Linked DNA regions of Danio rerio. The protein of the gene in region 2 purifies or fractionates together with the protein of the main gene of each other region. This does not show direct contact. Links are inferred from orthologs where the notes say so. Each region holds a gene or a part of one and is shown on either strand. Other genes may lie near its edges. The genes, in order: atp6v1f and atp6v1ab.

The links.
Region 1: the proteins of atp6v1ab (region 2) and atp6v1f fractionate together in Homo sapiens (co-fractionation; 3 studies listed by BioGRID and IntAct, with this or other methods). This does not show direct contact. The link is inferred for Danio rerio from reciprocal best matches to the Homo sapiens genes ATP6V1A and ATP6V1F.

The regions. Positions count from the first base shown.
Region 1 is NC_133179.1:20,640,231-20,651,641, forward strand, and holds atp6v1f (V-type proton ATPase subunit F), read right to left. Parts: upstream 5,393-11,411; 5' UTR 5,289-5,392; coding exon 5,131-5,288; intron 4,027-5,130; coding exon 3,825-4,026; 3' UTR 3,294-3,824; downstream 1-3,293. Other genes in the region: ragulator complex protein LAMTOR4, read left to right, coding at 5,752-5,754, 5,905-6,021, 7,366-7,483, 8,081-8,178; uncharacterized protein zmp:0000000938, read left to right, coding at 11,348-11,350. UniProt on the Homo sapiens protein: Subunit of the V1 complex of vacuolar(H+)-ATPase (V-ATPase), a multisubunit enzyme composed of a peripheral complex (V1) that hydrolyzes ATP and a membrane integral complex (V0) that translocates protons.
Region 2 is NC_133199.1:25,046,538-25,058,228, reverse strand, and holds the start of atp6v1ab (V-type proton ATPase catalytic subunit A), read left to right. Parts: upstream 1-5,861; 5' UTR 5,862-5,923; intron 5,924-7,265; 5' UTR 7,266-7,276; coding exon 7,277-7,358; intron 7,359-8,213; coding exon 8,214-8,342; intron 8,343-9,162; coding exon 9,163-9,377; intron 9,378-10,145; coding exon 10,146-10,283; intron 10,284-10,374; coding exon 10,375-10,526; intron 10,527-11,691. Other genes in the region: naa50 (N-alpha-acetyltransferase 50), read right to left, coding at 715-851, 2,887-2,894. UniProt on the Homo sapiens protein: Catalytic subunit of the V1 complex of vacuolar(H+)-ATPase (V-ATPase), a multisubunit enzyme composed of a peripheral complex (V1) that hydrolyzes ATP and a membrane integral complex (V0) that translocates protons.

The DNA.
Region 1 (11,411 bases), on a different chromosome or scaffold from region 2:
TAATTAACAATTACTTTGGAAAGATTTATTCTATTGTTATAAAAGACAAATGCTAACTCTTTTAATTAACATTCACTTTGCTTTTGAATATAAAGATCACACATCACAGTTGCTAATTAACATTGTGAAAATTTATTTAATTTTATTTTACTTAAGCCCATCGCCTTATATGGAAACACTTTAAATGCTTTAGTTACATATTACAAAAATTACTATTATACAACTGCAGATCCGTATTTAGTTACTTTTTGTTATAGAAGTAACACAATTGATAGATTTGTGACATGCTATAATTTATAAAAACAGCATTTACTTGAGTAAATACATCTTACAGCACTTTTAGATTTCAAAACCTTTTTAAACTATTATTTTTATTATGTACAAGCAAATCCAACATAACTTAAATGCAAATCAATAAATTTCACTTAGTTCACAAGAACTCGCTGTAGACCAACAATTATCCTGATTGAATTTGTGCGGAAATACGGTCAGTAACAGTTATGGCATTCTGTGATGGTGAATATGTGTGTTGTGAAAGGTTTTTGAGTCAGTCTGCAATATGAAAACACATTTTTATTTAACTTTGAGTTACATTAACATTTAGTCATTTAGCAGATGATTTTGTCCAAAGCATCTTACAATTGAAAAGGCGTTTAGTGATTAAACAAGATGAGGTATTACACAAAAGAAGCACTAGTTATACAAAGAACTTGTTTGTGCTCAGGGAATTTAGTGCTAGAGTAAAAGTGCTAGAGTTTTTCGTTATTTTAAGGGGGAGAGAGAGAGAGAGAAAGACAGAGATAGATGTTTGTCAATACCACTCACCTGTGTGAAACACACTTCATAAATGTAGTGTTTTTGTCGGTTAAAGTGTCTATGGGTAATGTCTACTAGTTTAGACACTAGTAATCTAATCTAATCTAATCTAATCTAATCTAATCTAATATAATATAATATTATATAATATAATATAATATAATATGCATTTAAAAAAAAAAAACAAGACTTACAAGAATTTTGAAGGCCTTACAGACCTGTTTACAAAAGAAAAAAAAGTTTGAGTTAGATACAAGCATTATTTTAGCATTCTGTAGAACTCACAATATAACCATATATATTTTCTTTACATGTTTGTCGGAGTAGTAAACTCTGTTAAGTTGCTCTTTGTAGCATTGGGAGAAATCTCCATATTCGAGCCACTGCTGAAATAAAATATATGAAATTCAATATGGTGGAAAAAAATGTTCATAGACAAAATATAGCATGAAAACATATCTTACCTTATGTTCTTGAAGATGGGACCCCCAAAAGTGTAGCTGAGGATCAGAGAACTTAAAATCCAAACAGAAATCATGTTGTTGATCAAACAGCAGAACCGATTTACTGAACAGAGTGATTGTGAATGAAGCAGAACAAAGTTGATTTGAGCTTATATTTCATCCTCTTTCCATTTAAATGCTCTTTAATCTACCAGGAATCTGTATGTATGATGTGTGATTCCCACAGGTAAGAGTAGGTTTTGTCCTTAGATAAGACAGTTTAAATAATGGACAAGATAGATGTGACCAATGTTCCCTAAAATATTCAGGATCTGACAGCGACGGTGTAAAAGCCACCGAAGAATCAATGAATCACTTGCTCTCATCATTGTTAAGTGTTTGACTGAGATATATTAGTAGTCAGATTTCTGTTAGACTTCCATAGTGTGAGTGTACAGTCAGTGATGATACACAGGATTTTCAGGAACCTGCAACAAACAAAGCAGTTTATACAACCAACATCATGTGTGTTTGTTGCCAGCATGATGATATACCTGAGCTCGTAGGCACAATTATTTCTTACCTCCTAAATAGCAGTAAAAATGACATGTAATATTAAAATGTGTTGACAGCTGCTGAGACCTTTTAAGCTAAGAGTGAGAGCATGGACCTCATTGCTATGTCAGCATGATTACTAACTATCCAGACAGTGATTGGCTGATGGAACGGAGGAGTCTGAAAATTCTGTAGAGCGCAAAATATGTTGTATTTTATTTCATGTTCAATTAAAGGTTTTAAAAAGGTGGCTAGACAAAGTTTTATGTTCTTGCTTTTAATGTATTAGACATTAAATAAAGATTTACTTCTAATGGTACAAATTAATGTATTTGCTTAGAAAATATTTAAGCAAATATATCTTTAAATTTGTATTTTATAAATTCAAAAATATATTTCATACCATTTCTGACCATATGAGAATACGCTGTTAAAAGCTAACTACCATCAAGGATTTCTAAAATGTTTATATAGCAAGTTAGGAGCTACTTTTATCCTTAAGATACTTAGTGAATAAGGGCCTTGATATATAACTCAATGACAAGGATATAAGGAATATCCTTTTCCCCATTACACCACCAGCAGAATCCTGATCCATTCAAATAAGTCAAGATTGATTCATGCATTCATGTTGTTTAAACCAAACCAATTCTAAAACTATCTTAATGTCAGAGCAGAAGACTCATCATATTAGACAACCATTTTCCAGTTTTCTATTGTACTAATATTGTAAAAGAGTGCGTAAAAGAGTGCGCAAACTGTAGACTCAGTTTTTTGTTTTTAAATGACTGGAGTGTCACAGGTATCTCTTCTCCTGCAATATTTTATGCGTTGTGTGTGCAGTCTCAGAGTCTGTTTTGATCAGTGTCAGTGTTCACTCTCTAGACTTTAATTTTGATCAGTGCTTGTGTCTGTCCAAGATTGGCAACACTTTAAAATACCATAATAAATGTATTACTAACATGAACAAACAATTAGTAATACATTCAGTACTTATTCATCATTGTTAAAGTTAATAAAGTTAATTTAATTAAAGAGTGTTAGTTGATGTTAACTCAGTGCATTAACCAATGTTAACAAGACCAACTTCGGCTATTATTAATGCATTAGTAAATGTTGAACTAATGGTTAATAAATTATTTTCAAGATTACCCCTACTTAGTTCATGTTAGTAGATGCATGAACTGATGTAGCATTATTCTAAAGTGTTATTCCATGCTATTCTGATTTCTGTCACAAACAAACTCTCTTTACCCACATAGATCCACTCGGGACATTTATCTGACTGTTCTCTAAAATCCCTAGTCACGTTAAATCATCATGACCACATAGATTCCTAAACACATTTTATTGCTGACATGTGATTGGCTGATTGAATTTTAACATGACCAAATCATCATATTTTTATATGCATTATTTGCATTTCTATTTGCATTATTCTAGTCTTTTTTGTATTTGCATATTTTACCTTAATATTTATTTTCCATCACCACAGTATCAATAGAGCATAATACTCCAATTACCTTTAATAACTGCAAATCACATACTTTGAACACATTTTAATTGCATCACATTGAGGAAAGCTTCTTTGAAATGCTTCAAAACAATGACCAATACAATGAGGAAAAAATATATGCATAGCACACCAATTTACAGTAACAGATGTAGAGAGTTTGTTTTCTGTCTAATATTATCAAGTTTGAGAAAGACATTCAGGAACTTAAATATTAAAGTGACAGCATTTAAAAGGAAATTCATAATATATTGAATTTTTATATATGATATATATGATTGTTATATTAAACATATATTTTAAAATAATTATTAGTAGGAGCACTGACAAAAACTATTTCCTTGGGAATGGCAAAAAATACATCACAGAACATTGATTAAACACACATCATTATTTACTCCTCATAATATGCTTTTCAGTTTCAGCGAGATGGATGAGAATACCCAACTCCTTCATCTGCTCAGGCCAGACTGTGAGCCTGCATGGGTAGTAACAGGTTATCGGAAGTCCTCTGCAGAGAACATACCCTTGGCCCGTCGCAGGATGGAGTCTTTGGAGGCATCATATGGATGCTCTTTTGAGGGAATCTCTAGCACAGCCGGGATGGACTGCATGTGGGCATCAATGGCATGTCGAATCATCTCTGCGATGAACTGGTTGATAAGGATGATGCCAATGTCATTGCGAGCAAGGAAACTCCTGTTAGTCATAAACGACAGACATGCTGTAGTTAATGTTGACAGAAAAAAAATTGTACAATTACAAAAATCTACTATTCTCTGCATCTATTTGTTAATCCAAAAATTACAATTCAAAAGGTTATTGGGAAAAGTAATGTTTACTGTATATATTAATGCATAATATATGTGTTAGTAAGACATTTTTTTCTGTATGTCTACTAAGGTGTTATACATAATATAATTTTATTATTGTATTAAATGCATATACAGCGCATACTTTGATGTTTCAAATAACTCTTCTGAAAATTAAATGCAAGCATGGGTGAAATTATAATCAAAATCAGACATTATTGCATATTTATGTAAATACCAAACTACATATTGACTTGGACTTGTACTTATTCATATAGACCATTTCATTGTGGTGATGACATTGGCCTATGCTTGATATCAAAGAAACAATTGAATAATAACTTAATTCTAAAAAAGCTATCATAACATTATTTATCAATAAGCAGGCTCTTTTTAGATTCTCGTAAGCTATAAAAATTAAAAATGTAAAACAGAAAATACGTTGGAACATTTGTTTTTGTTTACATTCCTCAAAATGATCTATCGTCAGAATAAGAAGAGATCAGACAAACATGTTCTTATATTTAAATTATTCAAAATTGATCAGTAGTTTGAAGAATAGTGACAAAGGATATTTAAATGACAATTGTCAATAGGGGCTGCACTGTAATTCATAATATTAATAGTTTGATATGTCTTTAATAGTTTCTTGCAAATATGATTGACAGTTTACTGGTGTATATAAAATATTGTTAAACTAAAAGACATTTAAGTGGGTTTCTTGACAAATTTAGGTAATTATTACTACATAAAAATAATTTATATATAAATGTTTTTTCTAAAATATTTGGCTGATATGATAGATAGATAGATAGATAGATAGATAGATAGATAGATAGATAGATAGATAGATAGATAGATAGATAGATAAACATAAATATTTTTTTAAAAAGCAAGTCTTCATCCATATATTTGTAATGACACATATTTGATAATTAGATTGTAATATATGATGTTGAGTCATTCAGACATTTAGGATCGTGTCACTTACTTGAAGGTCTCCTCTATCTCTGTAACGCTGGTTTCCTTCTCCACCACCAAGAAATTGGGTTTACGGTTTTTATTGAGCTCTCCGATCCCTCCGAGGAGAAATCCGGTGCACGTGTCTTCATCACCGATAACTGCGATTAATTTTCCTCGTCCGGGCATCGTGACTTTGTCTTATATTTTGCTCAAATAAAAGACGCAGAATGGACGAAATGTTTTCCGTTCAGCAGGATCATATGCTTTAATCAGCTGACCACTTCACTTCCGCTTTGCGTAGTCGCGTAAGCGCCTTATTTAGCTGATCTGAGATCTGTGCTGCTCGCGTTAACGACCGACCTGTGTGCGGTGATTATGACAGCGAATCTGATCCTGATACAGATTATTTTTTGTTAAATGCGAGAACAGCGCATAAATCCTAGCAAATTAAATAAAAATCCGCCACGTTTTAGTCATACTAAGATTTTTTATCACATTTTGTACGTTTCCAATGCATATAAACAAAAATAATGTCGAATAAGCAAAACATCTCCTGGAATGACGTTATAAACACGCGACGCTTGATGTCAGTCACGTGAGGCGGGGTGTGAAGGAAAACAGCAGTGTACATTTATCTGCACTGTCTAAAATGGTAAATATAATTCTTACCTTTAAAATATTTGTTTAATTAAATGTTTTTTTTATTAAATGTTTTGTTTTAGTGCATTTAGAACTTATAAAACAAAGATTTTGTAAATAATGTGATTGATGATGCAGTCTAATATCATATGAGCTCTGTTAGTGTTTAATTACAGTATTATCGTGTGTTGAATGTCAGACTACTGCTTTGACTCAAGGCTTGGAGAGAATACCCGATCAACTTGGGTACTTGGTTATTAGTGAAGACGGAGTACTCGCGGTAAGCTGTTAAAATTCATAACTTACATTTTCGGAGAACTTGACATGAGGGTGAAATGCGTTGAAAAGAGAATCCTGATTTGGGCAAATGAGAAATAATTAATTAGAATTCAATGTCTGTCAGTCTTATTGTTCTGTCTGTCTCTGTTTGCCTGTCTACACTTTGAGGCAAAATTATTACGCCTCTACTGATACATATTATTTAAAAAAAAATTCCCAAGTTATGATGAACTGAGCAATGACATTTTCACAGTATTTTCTATAATATTTTTATTCTTGAGAAAATTTTTTATTTCTTTTATTTTGTCTGGAATAAAAGCAGTTTTTAAATAAAAAAATAACAATTTTAATAGGTTAATAGGCCCTTAGAACAAAATAATGGTATTCAATGACTTGCCTAGTTAAACTTATTAACCAAGTTAAGCCTTTAAGTTACTCATTAAGATGAATTCTAATATCTTGTAAAATAACTAGCAAAATATTATGCAGTGTTATCATGGCAAAGACAGATTCTGTTAAAAAATATATATATTACAACTATTATTTTTAAAAATGTGTTGAGAAATCTTCTTCCTTTTGAACAGCCTTCATGAAAATAAATTAAAAAAGGAAAATATTTATTTATTGCCAATAATTGTGCCTTTAACTGTATCTATCTATCTGTCTGTCTGTCTGTCTGTCTGTCTGTTGGACACACCTGGCTCAAGGGGTTATCTCTCTCTCTGTCTCTTTCTATATATTCGATAGGTTCTATGTTTTAATCATATAATCAATTTATCATTTACAGTTGAGTCAGAATTATTAGCCTTGCTGTTTAATTTTAAATCTTTTATATTTTTCCCCAATTTCTGTTTTACAGAGAGATTTTTTTTCAACACTTTTCTAAACATAATAGATTGAATAACTAATGAATTTCTTTTATCTTCGCCATGATGACAGTACATACTATTTTACTACATATTTTTCAGGATAATAGTATTCAGCTTCAAGTTCAATTTAAAGGCTTAATTGGGTTAATTAGGTTAAGGAAGATACTTAGTTTAATTAGTAATTTAATTAACAATAATTTGTTCTGTAGACAAGTTAAAAAAATATATTGCTTGGGGGGGGGGGGGTAATAATAATTGAGTTAAAATGGTATGAAAAGCTGCTTTTATTCTGGCCAAAATAAAACAAATAAGACTTTCTCCAGAGGAAACAATATTATATGAAATAATGTGAAAATGTCCTTGCTCTATTAAACATAATTTGGGAAATATTTAAAAAAGAAAATATCATAGGGGGATTAATAATGACTCCACTTGTCTCAGTTAAGCAGTAAGTGAATGTTTTTTGTAATCTACAGTCGGCAGGAGAGCTGGAGAATGACGAGCACACAGCAGGAGTGATCATGCAGATGGTCCGAACAGCTTGTCGCTTCAGATTACATGGGACTGCAGAGCCCCCATTCAAGCGCATGTCTGGTAAGAAACGCACTTCATTTTTAGATAAATGCTGAATGATGATAGAACAATATTTCACTCATATTTTGTCATTTAATTTTCAAAAAATGTGATGTGAATTATTAAAGTAAACATGCTTGTGTAACATCAGGTTTATGTAATATTCAGATATCACTGTAGTATTAGTGTTTATTTGTAACATTAGGTTTAAGTATTATCCAGATATTTTTACAGTTTGAAATAGTTTTTATCTTTACATTTTGTGTTTTTTCTATTTAAAGTTTAAGCAATTTTGTTATGTATTTCTATCAGTTGTGTTTTTAAATAGGTCTGTTTAAAAAAAAAAAGGTTTTATTAGTTTTTATGGTTTCATGTGTAACCATTTTAAGTCTTTTTTTATCCTCTTGATTTTGTTTAGGAACAAAATAGCCCTAATAAAATAAAATAACCCTCTTTAATTTGTTGTTTTAATTAAATTTATTCAATAAGAAATAATTGATATATGATCATTTACTATTTTACAGTAAATCATTTTTACTTGCTGTGAAAATCCATAACTTCCAAACAAATACTGATATTAATGTATATTTTTTTCTTTCCTTTTTTGTCTGATGTCAGTGATGTTTGAAGACTACGTCTATGCTGTGACCATCTCCGGACAGAAGGTTTTCGTAGTGAAAAGGCAGAACAACCAGCGGGAGCCTGTTATCGTGTAGTAAAGAGGATAATATGGACTGATCTTTCCCACTATTACAAGCTCAAAATGGTGCCCTCACATAAAAATGACCCCGTCTTTACAACCACCCGATGTTTAGCACAATCACACTCTCTTTCTTTCTTAAGGTGAAATTTTGCAATGTTTTGGGGGCCTTTTGGTGATGTCAGGTGTATTTGACCTGAGCCAAAGTAAGTTCATGTGTTTCTCTTATTAGATTATGATGTTACATGGTTCATCTGATTTCTTTTTTTTGGATACAGGATTAAATTGTTTTTATATTTTAGTCCCTTTCATACTTGAGTGGTCACAATTATAGTATTGCTGGACATCATTATAGATTTGCATTAACATTTAACTCCAATAATCCATTAAGCTATAGATTAAAGGATTCATTGCATCATATTTTATGCAGAAATGATGTATTAGCCAAGGAAGCAGTTTCTTTCCATCAATATATAATTATGGTGTTATAATTGCAACTTTCATTATGGATTTCATGTTTCATTTTTAATGTAAAGTGTGAGAGCTTGTAGTGAAAGAGAGTGCACTGAATGCTTTTTGCAGGTGCACGTCTTTGAATAATTGCATTAACAGTAATGTATTAAATAAAATACTATGCACATTTGATTATTGAATGGGTTTAAAATTTTTTGTGGAAAATCTAAGTGTATTTTTAGTACTTTTTGCATTATAATACTTATTTTATTTGCATTATTCATATAAAATATATATTTAATTTGAATTATATTTGGAAGATTTTTTGTATAAATTATTTAATCTAATCTTTTTGTTATTTTTGTATTTCTTTTTCTCAAAAGTGTTTTTATTGAACAGTTAGATTCAATAAATCTGAAACATTTAGAGTTAGATTGTTAAATCTGCAATCTGTATTGCATTATTCTGTATTGCAATCTGTTTTGGGTGTTTCTCACTGTTTGGTTACAGCTGGAAGGGCATTCGCTGCGTAAAACATATGTTGGACATATTGGCGGTTAATTCCGCTGTGGCGACTCCTGATTAATGAAGGGACTAAGCCGAAAAGAAAATGAATGAATATTAAAATAAAATACAAATAAATAATGATATTATTAGTTTCTTCTAAAATAACTTAAGGGTTCATCTTCTTAATGTGATCTAAAACAGGTTGCCAAGTAAGATAAGACATCTTAGTACACCCCTTTTATAACGCATCATATTTTTCCGAGGTTAAAAGGTCTGTAAGCCATTGCTTAAAGGTTGGAAAGGATTTATCCTTCCATTTGAGCAATATTAACCTTCTAGCTTCTAGAAAGTTTTTAATTTTAACCAAAACATATGAGAACATATGCTGGCTCAACATGACATTGGGCACAATTAAGGTCTCTGTTGGTTATTTTATAGATTGGTTACATTTTAATCTATTTCCCTCTTTTATACTATTGTACAGTATGTATGTTTATCTTGTTTAATTAATTAATCCCAAAACAACATATGTTTTATACTCAGTTAGGAGATAACTCATTAAATATAACAATATATTTAAATGAATACATTTTTTTCATTATTATTATTGTTTAATGTTGTGTGCTTTATGAGAGAAAGTCTGGAGAGTCAGAGAATTATAACTATCAAGATAACTGCTATCTACTTATGTATTGTATAATGCTTATTATAAGCTACAGAGTTATTTATTCTCCGATGCTTTAAATGCTCCAGTTTTTGGCAGATCATTGATGTCAATAGTTATTTTATTTATCAGCTGGCAAAAAAAAAGAAAAAAAGAAAAAAGGTTTCCATATATGTTTCTCTCTATTGTTATTGCTTTTAATGTGTGCAAATCCAATTGACTAATATTGTGATGAGATTTTTAAATGTATAGCAAAACTGGAAAGGGTGACACAGGAAAGAAAAATGAGGAAGCAACATGCAGAAAAGACGTTAAAACAGGAACTTATTGCAAAAGTTTAAAGAAGCAAAGTCTGTTTCAATATTTCCTCTACTGCACTACATTTACAAACCGGTCCATTATTTTAGTAATTCTTCACTATTAATGCTTTGACAAAGTTGAAAGACCTTTGCTTTGTGCATTTTTTCAAAAGACTGCATAGAAACCATTTATAATTTCTTAATTTATCCAAATATAAGAACTTTTTAGCACTGAAGTGGGGTTGTGTTTGGTTTTACCTGTGGTTAACGTGATTAAATATGGAAGTAAAATCAGGGCCGGAGTGGGACTCCTTTTCAGCCCTGGAGTTTCAAGCCTCAGACCGGCCCACCTCAGTTCATGACTGACTATATTAAAATAAGGTCATTTCCAAATCAGTTTCTAATGACACTATCATGTCTTTTTTTTTAAAAAACAGCTGCTTTACAACTTCAAATGTTCAACAACCCTAACAGTATTATATGTCTTAACAATAAATATGAAAAAAAAACTTTCCTTAGTCGAGGATCAAACCCGGGTCAGCGACATCGTAACCTAATGTGCGACCCACTGGACCACAACCTACACATACAGTAGTGACTCATCTGACTCATTAACCTGCAGGCTGCATCTTGCTCACGAAGCTGCGAGAAAATAGATAAAAAAGCAGAGCTGCGGTAAAATAATGAATAAAAAGGCTGCGGTCAAGTAAATAAATAAATAAATTTTAAAAATGTGACTGCTGAGAGCATCAGATTCTGGAGCTAGGGAAACCGGATCTCGCGGCCAAAAAACAGACCGGCCCACCGGGAATTCTCCCGGTCCTCCCGATTAGCCAATCCGGGCCTGTGTAAAATAATTCCTTAATTAAGAAGGCTGCTAAAATGATTTATAGATATTACTCCTTTTGGTAGCTTCACTATGTATCAGTTATGGGCATATGAAATATAAGATAAGGTAAATGTAAAATAAGGTAAAACATGAAATGTTCATGTTTGGTATGATAAAGAGTAATTTGATGATAATTTATTAAATCTGTGCATGGATTCTACAACTTTGCAAGGCTTTAAAAATTAAACTCGAATGAAATTGATATGAATGATATGAATCCATATCGATTTAATCCAATGATTTTTTTTGCTATAAAGTTTATTATAATGACTAATAAACATGCTGCATGGTACAGCAACAATAGGTGGCGGTTGTGCGCTCTCAATTTTGGAAATCGCTGTGTAAAAACAACAACAAAGAAGGTCAGATTGGAATGGTCTGTTGCAGATCCGCTTGTCACTTCTCATATAAAATAACAATAACCATAAAAGTAGATT
Region 2 (11,691 bases):
GCCTCAGCATGCGCCTTCAGTTATGAATTTTCTAATCAAACCGGTGTGATCGTATGCTTCAAGGACCAGCCAAGGCTGAGATCATACACGTGAAAGGGTTAATTACATGGGTTTACTACAAACGTACCTCATAACTTCCATGGAGTGCTTGAAATAAGTTGTATAGTTTATTAGTCACGTTGAATCAATGAAACAGTTCCCTTATTTCTTTGCGGCAGATGTGCACCCTCTGGCCTTCTGAGGAGAATTACTAGTGATCACAGAGTCAAATTTCACTGACAGGATGTGCATGACAATCACAGCCTTTGATGAATTGCAATCTCCATTTCATTTTGATTAATCACAAGGCCCTAAAAAAAGACTTACAGAATTACAATATTTTTATTATTATCTGAGATTTACGGTGACTTATGTTCCAAACTGACTTATAAAATGCCATTAATGTAAAGCTATCAAAAAATGAAAAGCTTGCACGCATTTTGTTTGACAGTAAAGGATAAAATATTTGTATTTTGTTTTTACACTCACTGCTAGCTTCAGTTTATTTTAATTTATTTGGTCTTGACAATATATAGACTTTAGAATTTTTTTATTCGAAAAAATACTACACAAAATATTTCAGTTCTTATTATGTCCTGAACAGTTGAGTTACGGCTTTGTTGTGAAGTGAAGTGAATTCAAATGTAAGTGTTTTGCATCAGCGTTGTTACATACCTAGCTTGGCAAGCTCTCCCACTTCAAGAACATCTTTGTAGAACTTGTCGTTGTAGCTGACAGGGAAGATCACTTGATTCAGACGCTTCAATTGTTTAATGTTGTGGGGTGTAACATCCCCCAACTCGATCCGGCTACTAGAACAAAAGCAGAATGGTCAACTAGCTGTGAACTGACAAACAATGTCCTTTTCTTTACATGTCAGGTCAGCAAACAGTCCACATAAATGACAATATTACAGCTTTACTATTAGAAAAGCCCAAGATATTAGTACAATATCAGTTATCAGTTGATTCTGCTGCATACAAAGCGTCTATGGATATCCATTTTTACCTAATATTAGATTTATACATCATTGTCATTTGTGCTCATTGAACTTCAGGAACAGTAAAATTAATAATGTATACATGATCTTCACTATTTAATCACATTTAATGGTGTAATACTTAAATTACTTCTATAGTTGAATGCAACAGAGTATTTCATTTATTTTATATTAAAATTTGTATTGTATTTAAGCGATAGTTCACCTAAAAATTATAACTTTGTCATTGTTTCCTCATAGTCCACTTATGTCAAACCTGTTTGAGTTTCTTCTGTTGAACAAAGGAAGATATACTGAAAAATGATAGGAAAAAAACAGCCATTAATTTAAATTTGGTTTCTTTTTTCCGACATCATTTGTGTTCAACTGAAGAAAAAAATTTGTAAAAGTTTGGAAACACCTTAGATCGAATAAATGGTGAGAAAATTGTATTTGGGGGGGGGTGGGGGGGGGGGTGGGGGTGGGGGGGGTGAACTACCCCTATAATAACTTAGTATCAGCACATCCTCATTTATCTTTCGTGTGTGTGGGTGTGTGTGAGAGAGAGATACCCTAAAGGTGCACCCACAAAACTACACATTTCTTGTATAACTATGATCACCGTAAACCAGCAGTGCAAAAAGCAGGTATTTATAGGGAGGCAGCAAACTGAAGCCCAACACCAACAACAGCTGCTGGTCACATGTTCACCACTGCCACTGAACAACCAGCATGAGTTGACAGGAGAAAAACATACACACTAAATAGAGTTTACAGAACTTATGATCACAGAACAAATGCCTATACTACTATACACGGTCTTGAAATCAAAGTCCACTGATTAAAACAAGTTAGATAATAAAGTTTACCAATGCTTGGTAAAGCGATGAGAGTAAATACGTTTCAGATGATATTGCAGACTTTTAAAGCAATGGTGCACCACTTCTGTTCATGAAGGGCCCCTTAAAAATACATTTAGTATGTTTTTTTCTAGTGAAACACCTGATTCCCTTCAGCTCCATAGCAGAGACTCTTAATGGGTGTGTCGGATAAATGTGTACTGCTGGAGGCCTTCCAGGAACAGGGCTGGGTACCACTTTTTTACAGATGTGAATTCAAAACTTTAAAATATGAAATATTTTATGATATAAAACAGAATTGGATTTAGAATAAAAATTTAAATATCGCTGACTTTTCTTTATTCTACACACATGGTCACAGCAAACCACTACAGTGAGCTTAACGTAGCATATTAGACATATTTATGCATCGTTTCATCCATCAAACGTTAAAGAATCGTCCTTCATAAAGTGTTTTAAGACCGTATGAACTTGTTCTGTCATTTTCAAAGAGGACATGCTATGCGGCTAAGCTCACTCCATCACGTGTGTCACATTTCAATTCTTACATCAAAATAATCTCACATTAACCCCAACATGACAGCAACAAGCTTTAATACACTGCTATTAAATGTAACGATCCATCTGGGCGCCCATTTGGGAGAGGTTTCAGATTGGCTTGCTAACCAAGATAGCAACTTGAAGACTGACTCAACATTTTCGGATTTAGATTCGACACACGATCCAGTTTGGCACGGACTTCACTCGTGCCGTTTGTACTGGCATAAGATTTAATCTGGTGCTAGATTACATGAGGCACTTTTAAGCTATTTTCTGGAGATTTTGGGAAAAGATTAAGGTAAAACTAGGTGTAAAAACGCGGCGCAAATGTCTCTTCTCCACATTAAGCGCGCAGAGAGCTAACAGCTAGCATTAGAGCAACTCCACTGCCCCCCTGCTGGAAAAAAGAGAATAGAGAGGGGAAAACTTTACTTGAGAGGAATAGAGCCTTCTCTGTCGTCTACTCACCCTTTCATGTTGAAGAAAACACGTTTGTTGTGAGGGATACAGGGGCAGTTGGCGGTATTTGGCAGTCTAAAGGGAAATTTGGGCAGAGTTTGGGATGTGATCCCCTCCACATGTATGTTGCTAGCACACAAGCTAAGCAGTCCGCATTTGCCTCTGTGCTGTGGCCGAAGGTTGCCAAGTCTTTCCTATTAAACCAACACATATAACTTAGATCAGATTGTGAATTAGGAAAACGATATTTTAGTTGTTTTTTATAGTTGATTTATCGATAATGTTCATTTATAGATATAAATTATGTCATATGAGTTGAGATTGAACCCCGAAATAGGCATTTACGACTATACATAAGTAATTAGTCGGTGGTTACTGATGGTTGATTTGGCAACCTTGAATTCTGGGAGGCTGCTGCTGTCAACCTTCACCACTGACAACTAGCAACAGGAAATAGAAAAAAAACGGGAAATTGCGTTTTTGTGACTTAATAATACAAGTCTTATTGTTTTAATCCAAATAAAATGTTGTATAATCTCCTTCTCTAAAGACTTAGAAGGATTTAAAAAAAAATAAAAACATATTTCATGGACGTGATCTAATACAAGAATATTTTGTAAAATAAATAAAAGTGTTGTCCTTGGAATAAAACATTTATCTTCTCCCTGTTTGTGAAACCAGACCAGGTTTTATTGTTTTGAGTTTGTGTTGGCTTGTATTTCAAACTTATATTTAAACTCACAATACCGTGTTCAAAATTACACTGTTAAAAATTCCTTTATTTGCTTATTACAGCAAGATTTTGCCCCTTAGGTTACACAGATTTCACTCCACATATAAATGCATCAACTTGCTGCAATCTGTTGACTTATTATAGGTGCATATATTCATTTAATGTGTTCTAAAATTAAATTAATCTGACATTTTAAATGTATAGTCCATGACTGTCTACTTACACGTAGAAACACCCTTAAAAGAAAATGCCACCAACGAAAGTTACATTTTTAGTTTGAAGGGTGTAAGGTAAAATAATTTATTAATCACAGCATAGTATGCGATAGCCTAATCACTACTCTTCTTGAGTACTTTTAGAAAGGCTACTTTTACTCACACATCGAGTGGTATTTAGAAAACAGATACATTTACAAGTGTCTTGCACTGCATTATTTTGGCAAATAACAGTACTTATGCTTGAGTATGATGTTCAGTACTCTTTCCATCACTGCTTGTCAGGTAAACATGTGTTTTGTCAATTACAATACAATTACAATAGTCAGTTTAAAGGTAGGGGTGGCTTCTTCTTGGTTCGAGTCCCAGTTGAGCCAGTTGGGATTTGTGTGTGGGGTTTACATGTCCTCTCCATGTTCGCCTGGGTTTCCTCTGACAGTCCAAAGACATGCGATATAGGTGAATTGGATAAAACAAAATTGGCTGTAGTGTGTAAGTGTGTGTCAAGAGTTTATAGGTTTTTCACAGTGGGTTGCGGCTGGAAGGGCATCCGCTGAGTAAAACATATGCTGGATTAATTGGTTGTTCATTCCACTGTGGTGACCCCTAATAAAAAGGGACTGAGCCAAAGGAAAATAAACAAATGACTTTAGAAGGCAGTGTTTAGCATATAAGATGATCTGATCTGAACCATGCTGAACCTTTTGACACTTGAATACCAAGACAGAAAAGCCTCCAAAGATGATGCTTAAAATCACTTATTGGCAGAGAACATTTGTCTTTTGACTTGATCTTTCAAAGTGAGCTGAGTTGAGAGAAGAGCAAGCGATGGGAAGGAAGTGTGGAAGGAGAATCAAATTTAAATGACAGATTGAAGGGAAACAAGATTTGTTGGTGTGAAATACACTGTATTTGTACTGTCCATATGAGAAGATCAAAGTATGTGAATTACACTAGATTCAAACGTACGCTCTCTGGTTTCCATTTTCATGTTATATTTTGCAGCAATTTCTCTCTTTTTGGTTAAGCATTATCTCCACTACTTTTTTAAATGGACATTTCTGTTACCTCAAACATGTTACTTGTGAGTTCATTCATTAATTTACCTTCAGCTAGTCCCTTTACTCATCAGGGGTTGCCACAGTGGAATGAACTGACAACTTACCCAGCATATGTTTCACACAATGGATTTCCTTCCAACTCCAACTCAGTACTGGGAAACACCCACACACACCCATTCACACACATCCACTATGGTCAATTTAGTTCATCCTATTGACCTATAGCGCATGTCTTTGAACTGTGGGAGAAATCAGAGCACCCAGAGGAAACCCTCTCCAACACAGGGAGAACATGCAAACTCCACACAGAATGCCAAATGGCCCAGCTGGGACTCAAACCACTGACCTTTTTGCTGTGAGGCGACAGTGCTAACCATTGAGCCATAGTGCCGCCCTAATAGTAAATATTGTACCCTATTAAATTTTTCATCCTTTCCATAAAAAAGTGTATTTGTGTAATCGTCCATGTCTCTGTTATTTATAAAAGCCACAGCACAGTCCCTGTTGAGTTTCTTGGATTATTGTTTAAGTTTTCTTATTCTTTCCTCTAGTGATAATACTGAAATGGGTAACATTATTTAGAAGATCTGTATCTTTACTAAATTAATTTAACATATGCTTACAATATCCTTTAATTTTTTGTTTCATTTTTTATACTTTATTTTAAATATATATATTAAAACTTGCATTTACAAAATGTGTAAATATGAGAAAAAAAATCAAGGACTTGTTAAATAGGTATTTTTAAAACTCAATTTGAAACAAAATTTTAATTATTTGAGTCTAGTAATGGTTAATAAAGAAGGGATTAATGCATGCATAAATGCTGAACCACCTTCACAGCACTATTTTTCCACACACACTAGGGGGCAATGTAGAGTTTCACGCACGCGCAGTTGACCTTTGACCCTGCATAGGGAGACAGGCTGTGACGTCATCTCACAACTGGACTGGACCGACTGAATGAAGTCAGCTGACTTTTCATTGCTGCTCACGTTTCATCTCACTAAAGGACCCAGACTGTCTCATCATCTGAGGTATTTACTCTTTTTTTGGACAACCATAACATTTTCACGCTGTTGCGCTATTGCAGAAATGTACATTTAGATTAGCCAGCCAAAAAATAGGACTAACGTTAGGATTTTCCCCATTCTCTTTGCAGCCATTCATAATCCATAACATTCATAAACAGCTCATTATACTGCTGTATGTAGTGTATAATTGTGTTCTGTGTCGATCTGAATGTCCGCTTCGCCTCAGCGTGCAGCTCATTCTGTTTGCTTAACGTTATTACATGTTTGTTTTTATTGCAGCATTGGGAATAATCCTACTCCGATTGCTGAAATATTTAAATATATTGTATATAAAGAGATTTGAAATGCTTACAAACCTGTGAGATCAATCGGTTTAACTAACGGGACACGAAAAATGAGCAAAGATTTCAGCAAAGGTCAAATTCTATCGCAGCATCGCGATCATGTGATCATGCAGCATCTCTTTACAGATCGATCTCCTAAAGCGGCAAGCATTAAAAATATGTAATACACTGAAATAATGTATATTTAATAATATGTTATGTTTAATCTTGTCGTTTTTGACTTTGAAAAGATTCTATTTGGGCACTGAGATATGTAGTTGCCCGCTTAGAATATTTATCTGCTGCTTTCCAATTAACAACAACACGCTAGGTTTGCTGACTAACTCACATATGCTAAAATTGTCTGTAAACCAACACCCAAACAGGCAAAAGCAAAGTTTTACACTAAATAAACGAATTGTCTCTCTTAATCAAAAATCTCATATGAGCATCATGTGATTGTAAATTCACAAAAACATGGAAGTTCCACTGGTTCCTCATGAGGCTTTTAATAACCAGTAATGGCTATTTTTATGGATGATATTGTCAACGTCATGCGTTTTATTCTAGTCTTTGTGGGATAGTTAGTTGTCTGTTAACTATAAATGATTTGATCAATTTTAATTTAAATTCGGGACTACAAAATATAATGTTATCCACATTTACTCAACAGTTTTTCCTACTTCCTCACCATGATTTCTTTTTTTACAGTCAGTCAGTGTCATGTGCTGCTGGTCATGTGACTGAGTTTCATGTTAGACTTGTATGGAATGCTTTATAATATAAATTGGCTGTTAAACATTTGGTTTCCTTTTGCATTTTATATGACTTAACGTGTAACAGAAAATGTAACAGAAACATAATTTTAAATTATAGCTATGTTTATACCACTATATAGGAATAGGGATAAATACAACAACCACGTGGAGCTTATAGGTCTAGGAAGTGTAATATTAGGTACAGAAAGTAATCCAAATAATCATCTGCTTTATCTTTCCACGTTTTGTATAATTTCATATCAGACACATTAAAAATGGACTTCTCCAAGTTGGCCAAAATCCGAGATGAGGAGCGGGAGGGACAATTTGGATATGTGCATGGTGTATCTGGACCTGGTTAGTACAAATAAAAATGTCATAATATTTGATTTTAATTAATAGGTTACCATGAGTTTTTTTTTTTTACATTTTTTTTTCATTTTATGTTTTTAATATTTAAAGCTTTTAATTTTATTTTTCTCTATTGTTTCCTTTTTTATTTCCTCTTTTTTTTTTGTTAATATGTGACCAAAGCTGTTAATTATTTTTTGTTAATTTTATTTTTTTTCCTAAAGATTTAATTTAATTAATGTGACCATACTTTTTCCTTGTTAGGTTTTTATTAAGTATACCCGAATCTTTGCATTTTATTCTATATTATTGTTTAATTTTGTTGGGATATTATGTTGATAGGGTGTCTATTTTTATATAGTAGAGTTTTTTGTTTTGTTTTTAAATTTTTGTTTATTTTTCTCTTTTTAATAATTTTTTAATGTCACCAGATTTAATGATTTGTTTATTTTTAATTTTAGTTTTGTTGGATTAGTATGACTCTGGGTGCTCCGGTTTCCCCCACAAGTCCAAAAACATTTGGTTTAGGTGAATTGTGTTGGCTAAATTGTCCATAGTGGATGTGTGTGAATAGTTGTGTGTGGATGTTTCCCAGAGATGGGTTGCGGCTGGAAAGGCATTTGCTGCATAAAACATGGTCTGGATAAGTTGGCGGTTCATTCCACTGTGGCGACCCAGATTAATAAAGAGACTAAGCCGAAAAGAAAATGAATGAATGAATGGATTAATATGACACTTCTGATGAACATTTTTATTATAATATTTTTTCAAACCCATCATTTATTGAAGTTTATTTGAATCTTCGAGTCATTCATAGTACAGGTTCCACTAATTGTCACAATTCTTCTACTTGTGTTACAGTGGTGACAGCCTCCAGTATGGCAGGAGCTGCTATGTACGAGCTGGTGCGAGTGGGTCACAGTGAGCTTGTGGGAGAGATCATTAGACTGGAGGGTGATATGGCCACCATTCAGGTCTATGAGGAGACATGTATCCTATTTATTACCTCAGGACATGACACAATTTTAATCCACCTTTTTTCCTACATAATGCTTTTTGTAAATGATGGGAGTATCTTCCATTAGACTAAACAATCAGTGAAGTGTTAAAAAACTGGGTACAATGAGGTGGCATTATTTTCCTCACAGTTTTCCCATCAAATGTCAAAAGGCAACTTACTAGAATTAACAAGCTACCTTATTAGATATGCTTGATAGGGGACGCAGTGGCGCAGTAGGTAGTGCTGTTGCCTGACAGCAAGATGGTCGCTGGTTCGAGCCTTGGCTGGGTCAGTTGGTGTTTCTCTGTGGAGTTTGCATGTTCGCGTGAGTTTCCTCCGGGTGCTCCGGTTTCCCCCACAGTCCAAAGACATGCGGTACAGGTGAATTGGGTAGGCTAAATTGTCCGAAGTGTATGAGTGTGTATGGATGTTTCTCAGAGATGGGTTGCAGCTGTAAGGGCATCCACTGCGTAAAACATATGCAGGAAAAGTAGGTGGTTCATTCTGCTGTAGCGACCTCAGATTAATAAAGGGACTAAGCTGAAAGGTAAATGAATGTATGAGATATGCTTGATAAAGATGTTATTTTCATAGCGGATAAAGCACAATGCCAAGCGTACCTCTCCCACAGTCTTCACTGTGTATATGGATTATTTTTTTAGCACAACTTTATTATTTAAAATGACTACTTTCAATTCATTGGAATATAATCTCAAACTGGTATCAGAAAAAGGTGAATCGCTGCCATAGCTGATGCTCTGTATGTAGAATCTGTCAAACAGTGTTGTGGTTTTCCTGAGCTCTCATCAGCTGGTGTGTCAGTCGGAGACCCTGTCCTGCGCACAGGGAAGCCCCTCTCTGTGGAGTTAGGGCCAGGAATCATGGGCTCCATCTTTGATGGTATTCAGCGTCCCCTTAAAGACATCAACGACCTAACTCAAAGCATCTACATTCCCAGGGGAGTCAACATTGGTGCTCTTAACCGTGATCTCAAATGGGAGTTCACTCCATCAAAGAATTTGCGTGTAAGTGACATTCATTTCTAGTTAAAAGTCTTTTGCAAGTCACCATGGATGAACAGTTGAGATTTACCATTTTAAAATCCATTCAGCTGATCTCTGGGTCTGGCAGGAGCATTTTAGTTTAGCATAGCATAAATCATTGAGTTGGACTAGACCATCAAAAGAGATTTGCTAATTTTCCTATTTAAAGCATGATTCTTCTGTAGGTACATCATGTAATGTAACTGACGGAAAATTAAAAGTTGCTATTTTCTAAGTCAGTATGGCTAGGAGTTATACTCTCATTCTGGTGTAATGATTAAGCAACTTTTTCCCTGCACCACGGCTTTAAATTGGAATATTATCGAAAGACTTTTTGGAAATTTTTGAGTGAGATGCTAATGGTCTAATCTGATGCAATGATTTATGCTAAGCTAAGCTAAAATCTACCTGGCAGACCCAGAGATTGGCTGATTGAATTAAAAAATGGTAAAACTCAGCTGTTTAACTCTAAGTGACTTGTAAAATGAGTCTATTTTCAAAAAAAGATGTTCAAATTTAATTTTATTGTAATTAATGCTAAAAGAGCTTTTGGTTGTTTTATATAAAATTAAATATAGTTAGGGTGCATACCTAATGAATTGTTTCCACTCAATTAAATTTAGGCAGCTCAGCATTACACTTAACAGTCTCTGAAATAATCTCTTTAAAATAACACCAACACAATAACAAAAAGGAATCACGTGATTAGTCAAATGATGAAGTGATTTAAATGATTTTTCATGTGTCCAGGTTGGCAGTCACATCACTGGAGGTGATATTTATGGGAACGTGTTCGAAAACTCTCTCATTAAACATAAAATCATGTTACCCCCGAAAAGCAGAGGAACCGTCACATACGTCGCACCACCTGGAAACTATGATGTCTCGGTGAGGCCGATAACATGCAAACATTTTCCAAAAAAACAGGAAAATTACCATTACTGTGATGTATAATTCAATGTTTGTGTGTTATTGTTAGGATGTGGTGTTGGAGCTGGAGTTTGAGGGGGTGAAAGAGAAGTTCACTATGATGCAGGTGTGGCCGGTGCGTCAGGTGCGTCCCGTCACAGAGAAACTTCCTGCAAATCACCCTCTGCTGACTGGACAGAGAGTCCTGGATGCCCTCTTTCCGTGAGTCATGCTTTCTGAAATACTTCTGTATTATAATAATAAATCCAGGTTTTTCATAATAGTAATGCTGGTTCACAAAGTCATTTTTCATGTAAATATTTTAACTTTTAAAATTACGCATATTAGACAGTTGATAAATATCTAAAGCCAAATTTTCATATACATACATGCATACATACACACATACATGCATATATATATATATATATAATATATATATATATTAGGGTTGGGCATCTAAGCTATAATGCCGATCCGATACGCATCTCGATACAAAGAATACGATCCGATATATTAGCGATACATTTGTGACATATTGCGATGCAACACGATACGATTCACACCCATATCACGATACAATGCGATATTTCAGCACTAATTAGATCAAGTTTATGAGATGATGTGAAAGAGGATGCTGTGCCATTGAATGAGTTTGATTATTTATAAACCAAGCAAAACCAAGACTTTTTTTTACAAACTGGCTCTTCTCTCAGAGCCAGAGTGTCAGTTTACAGTAGAGGGCCATTTTAGAACATATAGCACATATTATTTAAGTATTTTCAAGATAAACAGAATGTATAAGTGCAATATCAATTAAAAAATATGTATATATTTGCACTCTTTCAACATAAATAAATTTAGCAATGCACAACAAGAATTGTGATTTAACTTTTCAACTATGAAAACAAGTTTTACAAAGATATATTTTGCCACTGATTATTCAAAACTTAAGGTTGTGAACTAGCAGTGTTATGCTGCTTTGAAACATCACTGTCACTGTAAACAACAGGCTAATAAAAATATAACAAACCAGCAATCTTCTTGCTGTGAGGTGGTCAAACTACCCACTGTGCCACCGTGACACCCAATTATTTTTATCATTATTATTATTAATATTATTATTATTATAATTAAATAAAAATTAACAGGAGGAGGTGTTTAAAACCTTCGTTCTCCGTGACACTAGGCTGAATATCTTTGCAGATGAACAATGCAATAGCATTCGTTATTGGCGTAGAGCGAGCAGAACTGTTGCGCACGGAAAAAAAACTTGCAATGCTTTTCTCACCACTTTTGGAGCTGGTTGAAGCAGTGCGAAAGCCGGGGATGCAGAAACACTGGAAGATGCTTTCACAACAACACCGTGGCGCTGCTTCAAGTGAGA